Saccharomyces cerevisiae S288C: one gene and its partners. The gene in region 4 interacts genetically with the main gene of each other region. Each region holds a gene or a part of one and is shown on either strand. Other genes may lie near its edges. The genes, in order: SYH1, YER134C, TRM11 and BIO2.

What was found.
Region 1: mutations in BIO2 (region 4) and SYH1 together harm fitness more than expected from each alone (negative genetic interaction), as found in Saccharomyces cerevisiae (2 studies listed by BioGRID).
Region 2: mutations in BIO2 (region 4) and YER134C together harm fitness more than expected from each alone (negative genetic interaction), as found in Saccharomyces cerevisiae (one large-scale study listed by BioGRID).
Region 3: mutations in BIO2 (region 4) and TRM11 together harm fitness more than expected from each alone (negative genetic interaction), as found in Saccharomyces cerevisiae (2 studies listed by BioGRID).

The regions. Positions count from the first base shown.
Region 1 is NC_001148.4:352,334-357,183, forward strand, and holds SYH1 (Syh1p), read right to left. Parts: upstream 3,080-4,850; coding exon 530-3,079; downstream 1-529. Other genes in the region: aspartate--tRNA ligase MSD1, read left to right, coding at 3,367-4,850.
Region 2 is NC_001137.3:436,707-439,698, reverse strand, and holds YER134C (Mg-dependent acid phosphatase), read left to right. Parts: upstream 1-1,895; coding exon 1,896-2,432; downstream 2,433-2,992. Other genes in the region: GDI1 (Gdi1p), read right to left, coding at 1-83; YER135C (uncharacterized protein), read left to right, coding at 1,355-1,747. UniProt on the Saccharomyces cerevisiae protein: Magnesium-dependent phosphatase which may act as a tyrosine phosphatase.
Region 3 is NC_001147.6:84,925-88,712, forward strand, and holds TRM11 (tRNA (guanine-N2-)-methyltransferase), read right to left. Parts: upstream 1,834-3,788; coding exon 532-1,833; downstream 1-531. Other genes in the region: TRM13 (tRNA:m4X modification enzyme), read left to right, coding at 1-340; HRP1 (Hrp1p), read left to right, coding at 2,920-3,788. UniProt on the Saccharomyces cerevisiae protein: Catalytic subunit of an S-adenosyl-L-methionine-dependent tRNA methyltransferase complex that mediates the methylation of the guanosine nucleotide at position 10 (m2G10) in tRNAs.
Region 4 is NC_001139.9:1,063,297-1,066,974, forward strand, and holds BIO2 (biotin synthase), read right to left. Parts: upstream 1,645-3,678; coding exon 517-1,644; downstream 1-516.

The DNA of each region.
Region 1 (4,850 bases), on a different chromosome or scaffold from region 4:
ATAAGAATCAGAACTAACTGAGTTATAAGAAGAAAAATCAAGACAGAGGGAGTTTAAAATGGACAGTAACTTTTATCACTAAGGTTATATTGACAAGTAGTGCTCTTTGGAAAAGGAATCTTCTAGAATCATCTTCGTTAAATTTCTTTTTTCATTGCCTTCGAAAAAAAAAAAGAAAAAAAGAAAAGAAATACACGTAACAAATGATTATGCGCTCAACCAACTTAAACACTTCTCATCTCCATTAAGAACCTTCAAACAGACGATAGATTCGCTAAATGATACGTTCTGCAATTTGAAAAATGTGCTTACCTTTCTCAATTCATGTGGCTTCAAACATTTAATCGATATACTAGCTATAGGTAGTTTGCACACGCTAACATATTATTGTAGCGTTCTTAGTACTGTTATTAGTTATCAAGATATTTAATTTCAATTAATTATACAAATAGATGGGAGTTATACTAGTTAATACATTGAATAGAAGATATACACGCGTAGTAAACAACTACTATGGAACAAAAAGGCTTCAAAATCTTTTTCCTTTCTTTTTACCAACAACTTGAAATTCCCAGTCTTCGGAACTGCCTTCAGGCATAGCTAATACTTCACTCCAGCTCAAGGGGTCATTAATTTCTTCTTCGCATTCTAGACGTTTTTTGATGAAATCAGTGGCAAATCTCCTACCGTCCATTGTTGAACTGTAGGAATATATGGTATCTGCGATAATTTCCTTGGATTCTGAACCTGGGGGCAAGCTAAGTAGCATTTCTAAAACATTATCGGGCTGAACACCCGTATTTAGTTTTAATTGGGATCGGCACCATCTCAAAAATTCTTGACGCTTAGAGACAGAAGCGTTACCGGGATAGGCAGGGATGCGAGACGGTTTAACTTGACGGGCCTTTAAAGTCGGGATACTAGTGGATGAGCCAATTTGTTTACTCTTATCGCTCATTTTAGTTTTTGTTGCGGTAGATAACCCCCCAGAAGAACGCAGTGTGTCCAAACTGATATATGACTTTGACTGGTTACCAGCGACAGGCATGGTGGAAGCGATGTGGGTTGTGCTCTTAGAAGAAACCGTGGTCCACGCATTGCTAGTATTCGAAGAGTTCAATGCCGAAGAAGATGGGGAAGGCGTTCTTGAAATGAAATCATCGAGTGAAGAAGCGCGGTTGAATTTCTTTGTTTTCTTTTGAACTTGTTCCCACAGCTTTTTCTGCTCTTCAATAAAAGTGGAATCTGGTTTAATATCACCATTGTTGGCCTTGTTAATTTTAGACTGACTGTTAATTTTGGTACTGTCTTTCATCAATTCTCCTTTAATATCAACTTTGATCGGTTGCTGTGGCTTTATACCCCAGGCAGAACCAGTTTGAGTTTTCGGAATTTGCGCCGAGCTTAATATTTCTTTCTGTAGTTTTAATGCCTGCTCACGATCTAACTGAGTACGATTAGGTTTTTTTTCTTTCTTGGACGAGTTCTCCTTCTTCAAATCTTCAAGAGCAGATGAAATCTGATTATAAACAGCACCCTCGGGTTTCTTGTTAGCCCAAGGCGCCAAATTAGTGGTTATGGAAGTTGCGGTGTTTTCGGAAGATGGAGTTTCTGTATCTCCAGTTAAAATGTTATTTAGCAATTCTTTTTGCTTTTCTTTCTCTAATTTTCCTTCTTCCTTCTTCTTCTTTTTTAACTTCTCTTCTTCCTTTTTCTGCTTTTGCTTCAATTTTTTCTCCTTCTTTAATTTGCGCTGTTCTTCTCTTCTCTTTTTTTCTTCTTCTTGTCTTTGTTGTTCTTCCAATAATTTTTGTGCCATCAGTTCTGCCTTTGCAAACCTTTTCTGCTCTTCAGAAGTCATTTGCGGCGTATCTTTGCTTTTCGGCTCATCAGCAGTGGATATTACATCCTTACGGTCTACCTCTTCAATCTCTGGTTGAACTTGATCCAATATATTTTGCTCTTTCTCGCTTCCTCGAGATTCTTCCTCCTGCTTAGTAGGATTTTTGACAATAGATTCCTCTTCATTTGTTATGTTAGAAACAGTTCTGCCCTCTTCTGAAAAAACCTCTTGCTCCTCTGGAGAAGCTTCCTCGTGGGAAGGAACCTTCTCTTCATGGGAAGAAGTGGTTTTATTAGATCTACTAGAAGTCGTGGATAGAGGAGCGGTATATGCAGATATCTTTGGTATGCGATCTACCTTTGTGATATGACGGCCGTCAACCGGAACCCAAACCTGAGTTTCATGATAGTAACTTCCATCTTCAAATTTAAGGCCAAGGATTTCTTCATACGTAAAATCATCACTATGCACATCAGCAACAGGTATCAAATCTCTTGACTCAACTTTTTGCTTTTCTGATGAAGTTGGTGCAACAAGTGGAACAGCATTCAAAGCTCTAATAACAATGAAATCAAAGGCGACAAAAGGGTCTTGATAATTATTCACCAGAGTAGTCAATTCACCTAGTCTAATAAACCGATCATTTACACCAAATGGCTCAGGAGATGTTGCTAATCTACAGATTTGCAAAGTTGGAGTAAAATAACCTCCTTGATACCACTGTGACATATTATTGGTACCAAAAGGCCCCTGAATGTTACCATTAGAGTCAATGTATTTCCACTGAGATTCTATCCCCGGTGGTGGGGGTTGATTACCAACGTTGGGGGCAGGCCCTGTTGCGTTGTAGAGATAAGGAGCTACATTTGGAAATGTGCTCGAGGGTTTATTGAGAACGGAAGGGCTGCTGGCGTTCATATGCAGGTTGGATGATGCTGCACTAAATGCACTATTGTTTTCCTGATTAGCAGATATTTGTAGCGGAGATCCAGTAATTTCAGCGTCATATGCATTGAAGGGAACAGTACTGGCTCCACTAATCGCATTACTCCCTGGCACAAAAGGAGATGGAACTCTTTGGACGCCAATAGAATCCATAATGGAGGAGGGCCTTTGCAAAAGAGCCGCATTGTTCATGGTTGGAGTATTGCTATTTGATAATGCAGCAGTGTCTGAGTTCGCGTCTGCAAGTTTAACACTGTGAAGGTCAAACGCTAGAGAGTTGATAGGATTCATCACTTACTGCCACTGCCAATCTTGTGCAAGCTGTGGCAAAATCGACCTTCTCCATGCGTCCATGGTAAATGAAATGTTTTGCTTTCTTTTTCGTGCTTGCAAAGTTTGGTAGATGAAATTTCAGAAAGCTACTGCCGTACCAAAGTACAATAATAAGGTGAAAATGGGAGTAGGAAGTAATAGATGGCATTGAATGCCTCATTTATTCATTATTCATGTTTTCTTAACATTTTGATTCAGTTGAGTGCATGCTTTTTTGAAAAGACTAAACATTACAAGTTTTAATCATGTTGGCCCGTTCCAGGGTGTGCTTGCAGACAATCACTAGACGGTTGGCAGACTTTCCAGAAGCCAATGCTATTAAGAAAAAATTTCTCTTTAGGAAGGACACCTCGACCATCAAACAGTTAAAAGGACTGTCTAGCGGCCAGAAAATAGTACTCAATGGATGGATAGAGCAGAAGCCAAAAAGAGTTGGGAAAAATTTGATCTTCGGACTTTTAAGGGACTCTAACGGTGACATTATCCAGTTGGTTGATAACAAATCGTTGTTGAAAGGCTTTACTTTAGAGGATGTGGTTCAAGCCGTAGGTATACTCTCTTTGAAGAGGAAGCTATCAAATGAGGACGCAGATGAGTACGAAGTGCAATTGGAGGATATTACTGTGTTAAATGCATCTAATAAAAAACCAGCGCAAATGCAGGATTTTAAATTGTCAGCCATATACCCACCTGAGTTCCGCTATTTGCAATTGAGAAATCCCAAATATCAAGATTTTTTAAAGAAGAGGTCATCTATCTCTAAGGAAATAAGAAACTCCTTCAACAATTTTGATTTTACGGAGGTCGAGACCCCAATGTTATTTAAAGCTACCCCAGAAGGCGCAAGAGAGTTTCTGGTTCCAACAAGGACAAAGAGATCCGATGGTAAACCATCGTTTTATGCTCTAGATCAGAGCCCTCAACAATACAAGCAACTCTTAATGGCTAGTGGTGTCAACAAATATTATCAAATGGCAAGGTGCTTTAGAGATGAAGATTTAAGAGCAGACAGGCAGCCTGAGTTTACACAGGTTGATATGGAAATGGCCTTTGCTAATTCTGAAGATGTCATGAAAATCATAGAAAAGACAGTTTCTGGGGTATGGAGTAAATTTTCCAAAAAACGAGGATTATTGACTTTAGACAGTAAGGGTACATTAGTGCCTGCGAAAAAGGAAAACGGCACAGTATCTATCTTTCGTATGACCTACGAACAAGCCATGACCTCATATGGTATTGACAAGCCAGATTTGAGAGCGCCAGATTTGAAGATTATCAATTTAGGCGAGTTCAATGCCTTTAGTCATTTGAACAAAAAATTTCCCGTTTTTGAAGTAATTATTCTAAGAAGTGCCTTTTCAAATATGGAAGAGTACAAAGAACGATGGTCGTTTCTGACAAATAACAGTAATTACAATTATAGAGTTCCAATAGTGCTACCAATTGAAAATGACGAACAAGCTAATTCAAATTGGTTTGAGAATTTTCATGCAATTGCCACGTTTGAAAACCCACATCTAATAACCAAATTTCTGAAACTGAAAAAAGGTGACATTGTATGCGGTTGTACGAGAGAGCCAAACCATTCCATTTTCGAGAATCCTACTCCCCTGGGAAGATTGAGACAGTTGGTGCTACAAAGTGAGCATGGGAAAAATATCTATCATGCTGTCAATAAGGATGTTGCCTCATGGATTGTGGATTTCCCGTTATTTTCTCCCGTTATAAT
Region 2 (2,992 bases), on a different chromosome or scaffold from region 4:
AGTAAACCAGATAAGATACATTCGGTAATACCGGTACCTAAGACAATCACGTCGTAGTCAGTGTCTATTGTTTCTTGATCCATTGTGTTATGCTATATAAGTGGTTATTCACTAACAGTTATGATGGAAGGGGAGTAAAGAAAAGGAAAAGACTAATTGCAGTCCTGCTTTGAAAAATATCCTTCCTTGAAAAAAGACTATGTTAGAAATTTGATGGGACGACGTCTCAAGCAAGAATGAAGTAGAACCTTTTCTACTAACAAAATCGGGATAAATCAGCCGACGTGTTGAAACTACATCTACAATCCCTCGCTGAAGCTTCCCACGGCCAAGATTTTGGAGCCCACAGGAGAGGGGAAAACACCGCCAATGTGAGATAAACGATTCAAACATAAGGGTAACCTAAAGATAACGGTTTTGAGCGTTTACGGCCTACTTTACTATGCAACAGCAGATGTTGGATAATAGAGAAGTTTGAGTGATAGATTGTAGAAAGTACAAGAATATGGGTGTATTACGGGAGTTAACAGAGGTATGTACTTTATCAAATGTGGTCTGATATTTTTTTCTTGAAAACAGTCTTGGCTATGTAATTTTTTAAGTTTTGCGCCTTTAGCTCATGTTTAGTTTCTGGTGGGGGAAGCGGTAATTATTTTAAAGTAGCCAACATAAGCAAAATATATGGAGAAAAAGAAGAATACCGTCGGAACCGCTAAAAGTATGTTTTTGTTACAGGATTGTAAAGCTTGTATCGCTTGGCAAGAGTTTGATTGGCCATTCTTGTAACTATTAGTTATTAAGCGGATTTGTCTCTTTTCAACTAGTTTCGAAGATGTCTCAAGAGATTGGAAGTAAACATTGCTTAGTATGAAAGGAATGCCCTTTGTAAATTAACGTAAATTATAACGTTTTCGAAAAAAAAAATTGATTTCGCCCAGGATCGAACTGGGGACGTTCTGCGTGTTAAGCAGATGCCATAACCGACTAGACCACGAAACCTAATTTGTTGAAAAAGTTTCATTAAAAAATAGAATATATCTACAATTCTTAAGATTTACACATGAAATTGTGGAGATGAAGCTCTAAAATATCATTGCTCAGTTATATCGTGTAATTAGTGTATTATCACGTACGGTGTAAAGAGGATGACATGAAAATCGAGAAATAGTCATCAAACCTCTTATCCCGAAAATGACAATACGTCAGGAACATATACACCACTTAATGAAGGGTAATTGATTATATCCCAATAAAGTGAATCTTAGTTTATTCGAAGTTAGTTGTCGATTGTCGTTTGAATATCCCCTTTGAGTTTAACGACCACAAATGCAAGGTTGATTAAAATCTTTCAAGCATGACATGGACTTTAAGAAACTTACATAATTCACAGAAAAAGGTCTTGGTCGATATTACAATTTGGTTAGCACTTTCTCCATACGGTGACATGGCGTTATTTACAAGTTTTGAGAATATAATCGGCGAATATTATAGGTACTCTATACTACCGTTACATCAAAACTTACACAAGTTACTATTCACTCTTTTTCTAATATGCCTCGCTAGTTGGAAAGAGGGAAACAGATCTTGCAGATATAAATGGCAGAAATTTGTGTGCAACAAGCTAAATTCTCCTGAAACAAATTTCGTACCCATTCGCACCTCAGTGAATAAGAACTCTAAAATGATTGTTGAAAAGCAGATAAGCATTCATATTTCTTTAAAGTGTATTGTTTACAAAGAATACTAAGGGATTGAGTAGAATATTTTTCACGCACTAGAAGAAGGACCTGCCGAAAAGGAGACCTTCTCGAGAAACAAGCATTTTTGTCCTTAAACTTACAAAGAGAACAATTTTGTTACAAATCCTGCTCCAAAATAGTCTCAACGCGTTTATTATGACTGGATACCCTGACGTGGCCGCCTTCGATTTGGACTACACCATTTGGCCCTGCTATTGTGATACCCATTTGCACGGTCCCTTTAAGCCAGTTAAAAGTAGTAATGGCGAAGTTCTCACAATTATATGTAGAGATGGTTACGAGCTCACAATCTACAAAGATATCCCACGTATACTAGGTGATCTTAAAGATAATGGAGTTAAGTTAATGACCGCGTCACGAACGTGGGCACCTGAGATTGCCCAGGAAATACTGAAAATATTCAAGGTCAAGTATGCTGGTGTCGTAACCCCGTTGGCCAACCTGTTCGATGAATTTCAGTGGGGAGAAAGAAGTAAAATTGGCCATTTAAGGGACGGTTTGAAAGATCTTTATAATACCAGCGATTTAAAATCGAAAAAGATTTGTTTATTTGATGATGAAAGTAGAAACAAAGAAGTGGAGAAATACGGAGTGAAGTTTGTTTATGTAAGAGACCCAGAGAATGGACCATCTTGGAAACTTTATCAAGATTACCTGAGTGGAAAGGTTTGAAGGACTGCGCACTTAGTTCACAGAGCATCATCTGAGCATAAGAAGAAGTCATTACATTTATGGGAAGATGATACATCACTGTTAAAAATTATATATTTGTGATTTATCAAAATAGAAGCTCACTTTTAATTTAAAAACTTTAACCAATCCGCCTCAGCCTTTGTACTAATTTGTTCTTCCAAAAAGAGTTTTCATAACTTAACCATATATCTATGTATAAAAACCTGGTTCATTCACCACTTTTCACTACTAAGTTCAGACAAATATTTTCAAATTTCAGTGCAAGAAGCTCTTAACCATCTGCTTTTCTCCAATGATCTTCATACACGTTGTAATGCTACTGATAGCGTTTGAATTTTAAGTGTACGAAACATTATGTGACGAACATGAACCTTAACCCATTATTTTTAACAGAGTAGTTTAACTACGTTAACCAAAAAAAAAGAATAACTTTTTTTCGCAGGCAAATATGCATTTCTTATTCCAACACTATTGATTCCTGCCATAGATTGATGATTTTCCTAAAACTAGAATGTAGAACAAAAATACTCAAATGATAT
Region 3 (3,788 bases), on a different chromosome or scaffold from region 4:
ATCACTTGTTGAAAAGTATAGGGCCCATGGCTCCATCTTGACGTACGAAACCTTTTTCCGCGTTTTAACTAAACTCTGTTCATGGGGTACCTGCGGAAGGAAACCAGGTACGGCTATTACAGATATAGTAAACGTTGTCGAATCGTTTGAAGGGGCTGAGCCATATACAATAACCATTAAAGAGAGAGAAAATATTGGATTAATGGCTAGGCGTGTAATCGACGAGGGCAGGTTGGTATATGTGAAAGAAAAGTTTACAGAGTTTAATGCGGAGCTGATAAGGTACGTAGAATCCGATGTTTCTTTAGAGAACGTTGCTATGTTAGTTTATAAGAAATAGAGAGCTTTTAATTTTTATTTTTTTTCACTTGTATTTTTGACGGGCTATTAATTTTAAATGAAACTTTTCTACATGATGGAACATAAACATAAATATAGGTATAGATAAATTGTTCTTCTTTTTTTTTTTTTTTCTTTAAGAGAAAGAGTAAGTAAATATATCTTAAAATTACAAAGGGCTTATGCATCATTTCAGTTAAAATTATTGAAGTACCGCTCCCTGAAATTATCTTTTGAACGTTTTATGCCATGATTACTTGATCCATTGAAAGTGCTACCCCTATTAATATAAACCAGTAGTCTCCTTGACCATTTATTGAATTCTTGAACGCAGTTGTATTTTAGCTCTAGATTTTCGTGCATTGGGACAATAGTTTCAATATTGGCGTCGTTTGCAGTGGGCATCCAGAAGGCTAATCTTCCGCCAATCGGTAATCTTTCGGAAGAGTATTGTAAAAGATCATCCAGTAATGAATCTAGAGCATACGGTTTTTTGGTTGGAATATAATCGCGACGCAAATATGCCTTTTCACCGTCAATTTCCATATCTTCCTTGCCTAGAAATCTTTCTGGATCCTTAGCACCTAGGACTTTTATGCTTTCTCTGATACCATATGGAGGATCACACAAAATAGTATCAATGACAAGATTGTTTCTTAATGCGTTATTTGTAAAGTCCATGGTCAACACGTCGAGGAATTGAGAACTCTCGCCATATTTTTTGAAGTTGGCCGAAATGTTCACTTGAGCACCCTTACCACGAATCATTCTGCCATCTATATCCGAACCAATCACTAAAGAACCAAAATGCCCACCAGCTACCAAAAAGGATCCTGTACCTGCAAACGGGTCGTACATTATAGTTCCCGGTTTCACTTGAGCTATATTGGCGCTGACCAACGATAATTCTGCTTCGAAGCTAGTTGTACCTTTATAAGGTCTTTTCTTCAAATCATATTTCTCCATGGCACTCCTATTGCTCATCTGAACCTGCCTACCAAAATAAATCCTGGTGGGGGTCTTACCACCAACGTTTTCCGATATTGGTGTGTACTCTTCTATAACAGTGAAAACCTCTTGAGGATGTTTCATATCAATCTTTCCTTCAAAGCCAAGGTAACGGAAAGTTTCAATCTGCTCTACCCTCTTAGCTTTACTGTTGCCTTTATAGCATTCGAATTCGAACTTAAAAGTGGAATGTTTGAATTTCAATTGCAGATCCTGTTCAAAGTTAGACTGACGCTGAATATCTTTATGCAGCTCATCGAGCGTTGTACCCTGCCCCCAATACTCATAAATACCTCTGGTTAAAATAGACCTCTTAATCCAATCCTTTGCTTGCTGATCATTTTCCAGCTCTACAATAAAGAAAGGGCTATTGGCATCGTACTGCGAAAAGTCTATGGAAAGATTATATAGGTCTGCTAACGATTCCAGTTCTGCTCTTCTAAAGTTCAAATGAACTTGTACCATATACAGCAGATATTTCTTCATGCTGCCGTTTTTACCTTATATACAATGTGTTTAGTTATGCTATTTCATCTCCATATTACGGGTATTAAGACCTCGATGCCCATAATCATCGATTTTTTTCACTTTTCCCACAACGTAAACATTTCTTTTTTCTTCGGAAAAGAATCCAAAATACGGGTAATAAAAGTCTCTTAAAGTACTAATAGCTATAGATAACATTATGGAGGCTATTGATATACAAAATACTAAGAAATATAGGTTGCTGCAAGGAAGAAGATCAAAAACCCTCTAAATTTCGCTTTATCTATCCATCAAAAGTCCGGAGGGTCATGCTATCGAAAACCTATTGACTATAAATATCAATTTTTTTATCTCTTCGATTTGTTCTTGAAGATCTTGCGCAGAAGTTGAAAAACAAAGAGTAAATCCTAATGTAGATGCGTGGAAAAAGAAACATGCTCTTAAGGATCCCAACTTCTTTCTCTTCTAAACATCTATAACCTTGGAAGATCTTGCGAAATACTGGGCGGCTAAATCGAATGCATTTTTAATCTTACCCGGAAATACTTTCTTTTTTTTATTTATTTTTTTTCTTGCAGCCCCTCCCTACGAGCAGCGCCGAGATTTCTTGTTGGACAAAGCAAAAAAAGTATAAAAGGCGCATGCTTTCCACACGCCCAGGCGCTCTTAAATTTTCTTCCGCTCTCTCCTTTCCGCCACTGTAATTAAAAACAAAGGATTGAACAGTTTCGACTAGTTATTTAATTTTGCAGATAGTCAAGTATTAGTACAATATACTGTTATAAATTTTTTACGTGTATCTTTTACTTTTTAGTGTTTAATAACTAAAATCTCATACCTTACTAGATTTCTTTCTAACCTTTTTTGCGAAAGAAACAAAAAGAAAAAATACGGACAGAAAAGGTATACTCAATAAACAAGAAATTGAAAAAGCGTGCATAATACAAACAATTGGCCCTTTTTTATTCTGTATTAATATTACTGTTTATATTACAATCTTTTCATAAAAGACGCAAATATTTTATTTATAAAGAACTTTAGCAGTATACACAAGTCTGAGAAAATAGAGAATAAGTTAAATAAGCAATGAGCTCTGACGAAGAAGATTTCAACGACATCTACGGCGATGATAAGCCTACCACTACTGAAGAAGTCAAAAAAGAAGAAGAACAAAATAAGGCTGGCAGTGGTACCTCGCAATTAGATCAACTAGCCGCACTACAAGCATTATCTTCTAGCTTGAACAAACTAAATAATCCAAATAGTAACAACAGTAGTAGTAATAATAGTAACCAAGACACATCTTCTAGTAAGCAAGATGGCACTGCGAATGACAAGGAAGGTTCCAATGAAGACACTAAGAATGAAAAAAAACAAGAAAGCGCTACATCAGCAAATGCCAATGCCAACGCTAGTTCTGCAGGACCTTCTGGCTTACCTTGGGAACAACTTCAACAAACCATGTCACAATTCCAGCAACCATCTTCTCAATCACCACCTCAACAGCAAGTAACTCAAACCAAAGAGGAACGTTCGAAAGCGGATTTGTCTAAAGAAAGTTGCAAGATGTTCATTGGTGGTCTGAATTGGGACACTACGGAAGATAATCTTCGCGAATATTTTGGTAAGTATGGTACCGTCACTGATTTGAAAATCATGAAAGACCCTGCAACAGGTAGATCTAGAGGGTTCGGTTTCTTATCTTTTGAAAAACCTTCTAGTGTTGATGAAGTGGTAAAGACACAACATATCCTCGATGGTAAAGTTATCGACCCAAAAAGAGCTATCCCAAGAGACGAGCAAGATAAAACCGGTAAAATCTTTGTTGGTGGTATTGGTCCTGATGTGAGACCAAAGGAATTTGAAGAATTTTTTTCTCAGTGGGGTACGATTATCGATGCGCAACTGATGTTAGATAAGGATACCGGTCAATCAAGAGGTTTTGGTTTTGTGAC
Region 4 (3,678 bases):
CGTATTTGCGGGTAATATTTTTTGGACATTTGTATTAGGAGCGTTATGTTCATTAATGTCATCCAAAAGATAGTTATAAATCTATGATTGTATGGTTTCTTTGACATATTTATAGTTAATATATATATATATATGTGTTTAATTTTATAAAAATTCCATCGTTTATATTCGATTATTTTTATATGTCAACCTTTTTTTTAAGAAATGTTCATATTTAGTCAAGTTCTTAATGAAATGAACGGTTGAAAGTACAAGGCAACTATCATTTCAAGATATAAAAAAATTGCCCAAAAAAAAAAGGCCATTTGATGAAATGTCTCATCGCGCTACGATTTCTGCTGTAATCAGAACTAAATGCGTGATCGGAAGTAATATTAGATATTGGATGCATAAAAGATAAAACGCCAGCTAACGATGGCAGAATAAATAGGTAAATATATATATATATAGGTTTTCTTAATAAATAAGGGAGAAATGTACAGTTAGAATCGTAGAATTATCCACATATCCCTATCTTCAAGATCTGTCGTACTTAAATGCCTCCATAGGTTGCAATCCCCATTTAGCCAACATTGCCTTGTCTTCGTCCCAACCGTTACACATTGTCGTCAGCATTTTCTTACCGGTGAAGATACTGTTACAACCTGCCATGAAACAGACAAATTGCTCTGTTTCTTTCATTGTATAACGACCAGCGGCAAGTCTTATAATGGCCTTTGGCATAACTATTCTCGCTGTGGCAATGGTTCTCAAAATTTCGTCGAATTGCAACTTTTTACTCTTTGGATCGGCAAGTTCCTCAGCCATTGGAGTCCCTTTGATAGCAACTAGTCTATTAATTGGTAGGGACTCAGGATGAGGAGACATATTGGATAATGTGTAGATGAATCCTATATGGTCGTCTTCGCTTTCACCGAGACCCAAAATACCACCGGTACAGGCTTTTATTCCAGATTCTTGGACATTCTTGATGGTCTGTAACCTGTCGTCGTAGGTTCTCGTGGTGATGACCTTACTATAGTGTTCTCTGGAAGTGTCGATGTTATGGTTGTATGCAGTCAAACCTGCATCTTTCAATTGCTTTGCTTGATCTTGATCAACCATACCTAAAGTAACACACGTTTCTAGCCCCATATCATTCACTTTGGTCACCATTTCCTGAATTCTTTTCATGGCTGATTTACGACCTTTCATGTCTCTCCATGCAGCACCTAGGCAGAATCTAGTAGATCCGTTTCTTTTGGCCTCTTCTGCCTCTTTAATCACTTCATCCACTTTAACCATTTTCTCAGCCTTTAGACCGGTATCGTTTCTCGAAGACTGCGCACAATACTTACAGTCCTCAGAACAACCACCAGATTTGATGTTCATCAATGTGCACAATTGCACTTTGGTTGGATCGTGCCACTTTCTGTGCTGCAATTGTGCTGCATGAGTAAGTTCGAGCAGTGGGGTATGATAAATTTCTTTTAATTGCGATTTTGTCCACGAATGACTTGGTTCATCTAAAGACAATGCATATTGTAGAGCACCCAGAGTACTAGCTTCTGAGGATGCAGTTGTCGATTTAACTGCGGCATTGGTTGCGTATTTAGTTAAAGCCGGTCTAGCGGTAGATAAATGACGGTAGATAGTAGACATCATACTGCACTAAATTGAAAATAATCGGCTAAGTTAGCTCTTCTGAGGACACCACTACCAGAAGAGTAAGATCTGAAAAATTTTCAGCAAGTATGGGAGCAAAAAAAGCTTTGCCCTTTTATATAAGATCTGCCTAAGAGAAGAAATAAAAGATACCAAGAGAATCTAGCAGAGTGGCAAACGAACTACATAGCCTGTAAATACAGATTAGGCAGCAGCGTAGCGGATTTTCCTCAGGCATCGTCTCTCACGTGAAATCTGTGGGGGCACCAGCGTGACAGGGACGGTTCTAATGCTTTGCACTTTTCAACAACTTTTTTCCATAACCAAATGCCGGCAAAATGGCTTCGAAGAAGACGCGAGACTTCATCCGCGAGTCATCTCGACATGACTATCTTTTGCTAGCCAACACGCCCCTCCGCAACTTCCCACGATAAAATTGTAAAGAACAGTACTGATGGACAGAGATTTGCGCAGTGGCATTTTTTGAAAATAAAATGAAAAATTATATATATATATTCCATACATAGTATATAATATGAACTCGTTTGACTTGGAAAATTTTAGATGCAACAGGCAATATCGTTGGGCTTTTTTATTTGATCATTAGCTTATTTGAATATGAAGGTAATGACCAAGGGCTACTAATGTCTTTCTATTAAGCCGTTTTACAATTGTATATTTTGTAATTTGCATCGCAGTCATAACTTCTTGCAAGAAATAGTAGTTTCACACAATGAGGTAGTTTCGTTGGAGATGCAGTAATAATGCAGAATACGGATCTCACGGACCCCAAGAGAAAGCTACGCAATCTTACGGCTTGTAGGTTCTCAGTTCCCAATCGATGCAAAATGGGTAAGTATTTTCAAGACTGAAATAAGGTCGCTTAGAAACGGTTATCCATTTACTATTATCTGGAAGCTGCTTTCCACAGCTACCTACTTTGGAGTAATGGTTTCCGGGAAGACTTCATCCTAGAGCCTCTTGCTGTTGTTATTCGAAGTTCAGATTCGTAAATGGTAGTACGTTCTGCTTTCGCAATGAATAACTAGGTCACATAAGCCCTAAATGCGTCAGTAGAAGATCAGATGCATTGACCACATCATATCCTTCTAAAGTAATTAATTGAGATTTAATATTTTTCGTACTGATGAGAAAGCTAAACTAGTGCAACTATTATAGTCACATTTGTACGGAAAAGGCAGAAGCAAGAACAATGACTTGAAAGAGCGTATAGCTATTTAACCATTTCCATTTGTATGCTATAATTCAAGTATTTCCACACTCTTAACTAAAACGAATCAGAAGAGTAGGCTACTAAGAAAGATGGCTATCCTTAATAAGTACTATCCGACGTTGAATTGAAGATTAAACTGAGCCACACATTCCCATCTTCTGCACACTTAGTTCCTTATTTAGAGACTTTTATGATAAAAATTTCTTCCGTTCACTGTTAAACAACCTTGGGAACAATGCTGACTGTGCAGGAAAATGACCTATGTTTGAAGGATGTTGCCACATAATTGAGGCATGTTAGCAGAGCATTCCCTACCACTGGAAGGAGTGATGGTTGATGTATTTTCCATTGAGACTGTGACATTGTGATACGATACCTAATCAACGACCCTATATAACTCATTAAAAATGGCTTTCTAGAAGCTACATCTATTTGATTAAATTGGTTCCCATTTTCACAAATATTTTGCCACCTCTCCTTCTCGCCAAGGATTTGTACAAAATTAACAGACCTTTTAGAATAAATATTAAATTTAGGTCAGCAGAATACGGCCACCATCTCATTCTTTACTAGATCAAGCGTCAATTCCAATAATTATAAAAATATAAGTCAAGAAAGCATCTTTCTTCGAGTCTCCTGCATTCGGTTTGCGTTCCTCTCTCGTTCTGCTTGACAAAAGAAAGAGTTTTTTATTCTCCTAACCAATAAATTGAAGCAATCAGCTATAGGGTTAGATGTATTCGTTTTCCTTTCTGACCCCTTATGTCCCCATTTGGAAGTTCTAAACAAATGCCCTTTGG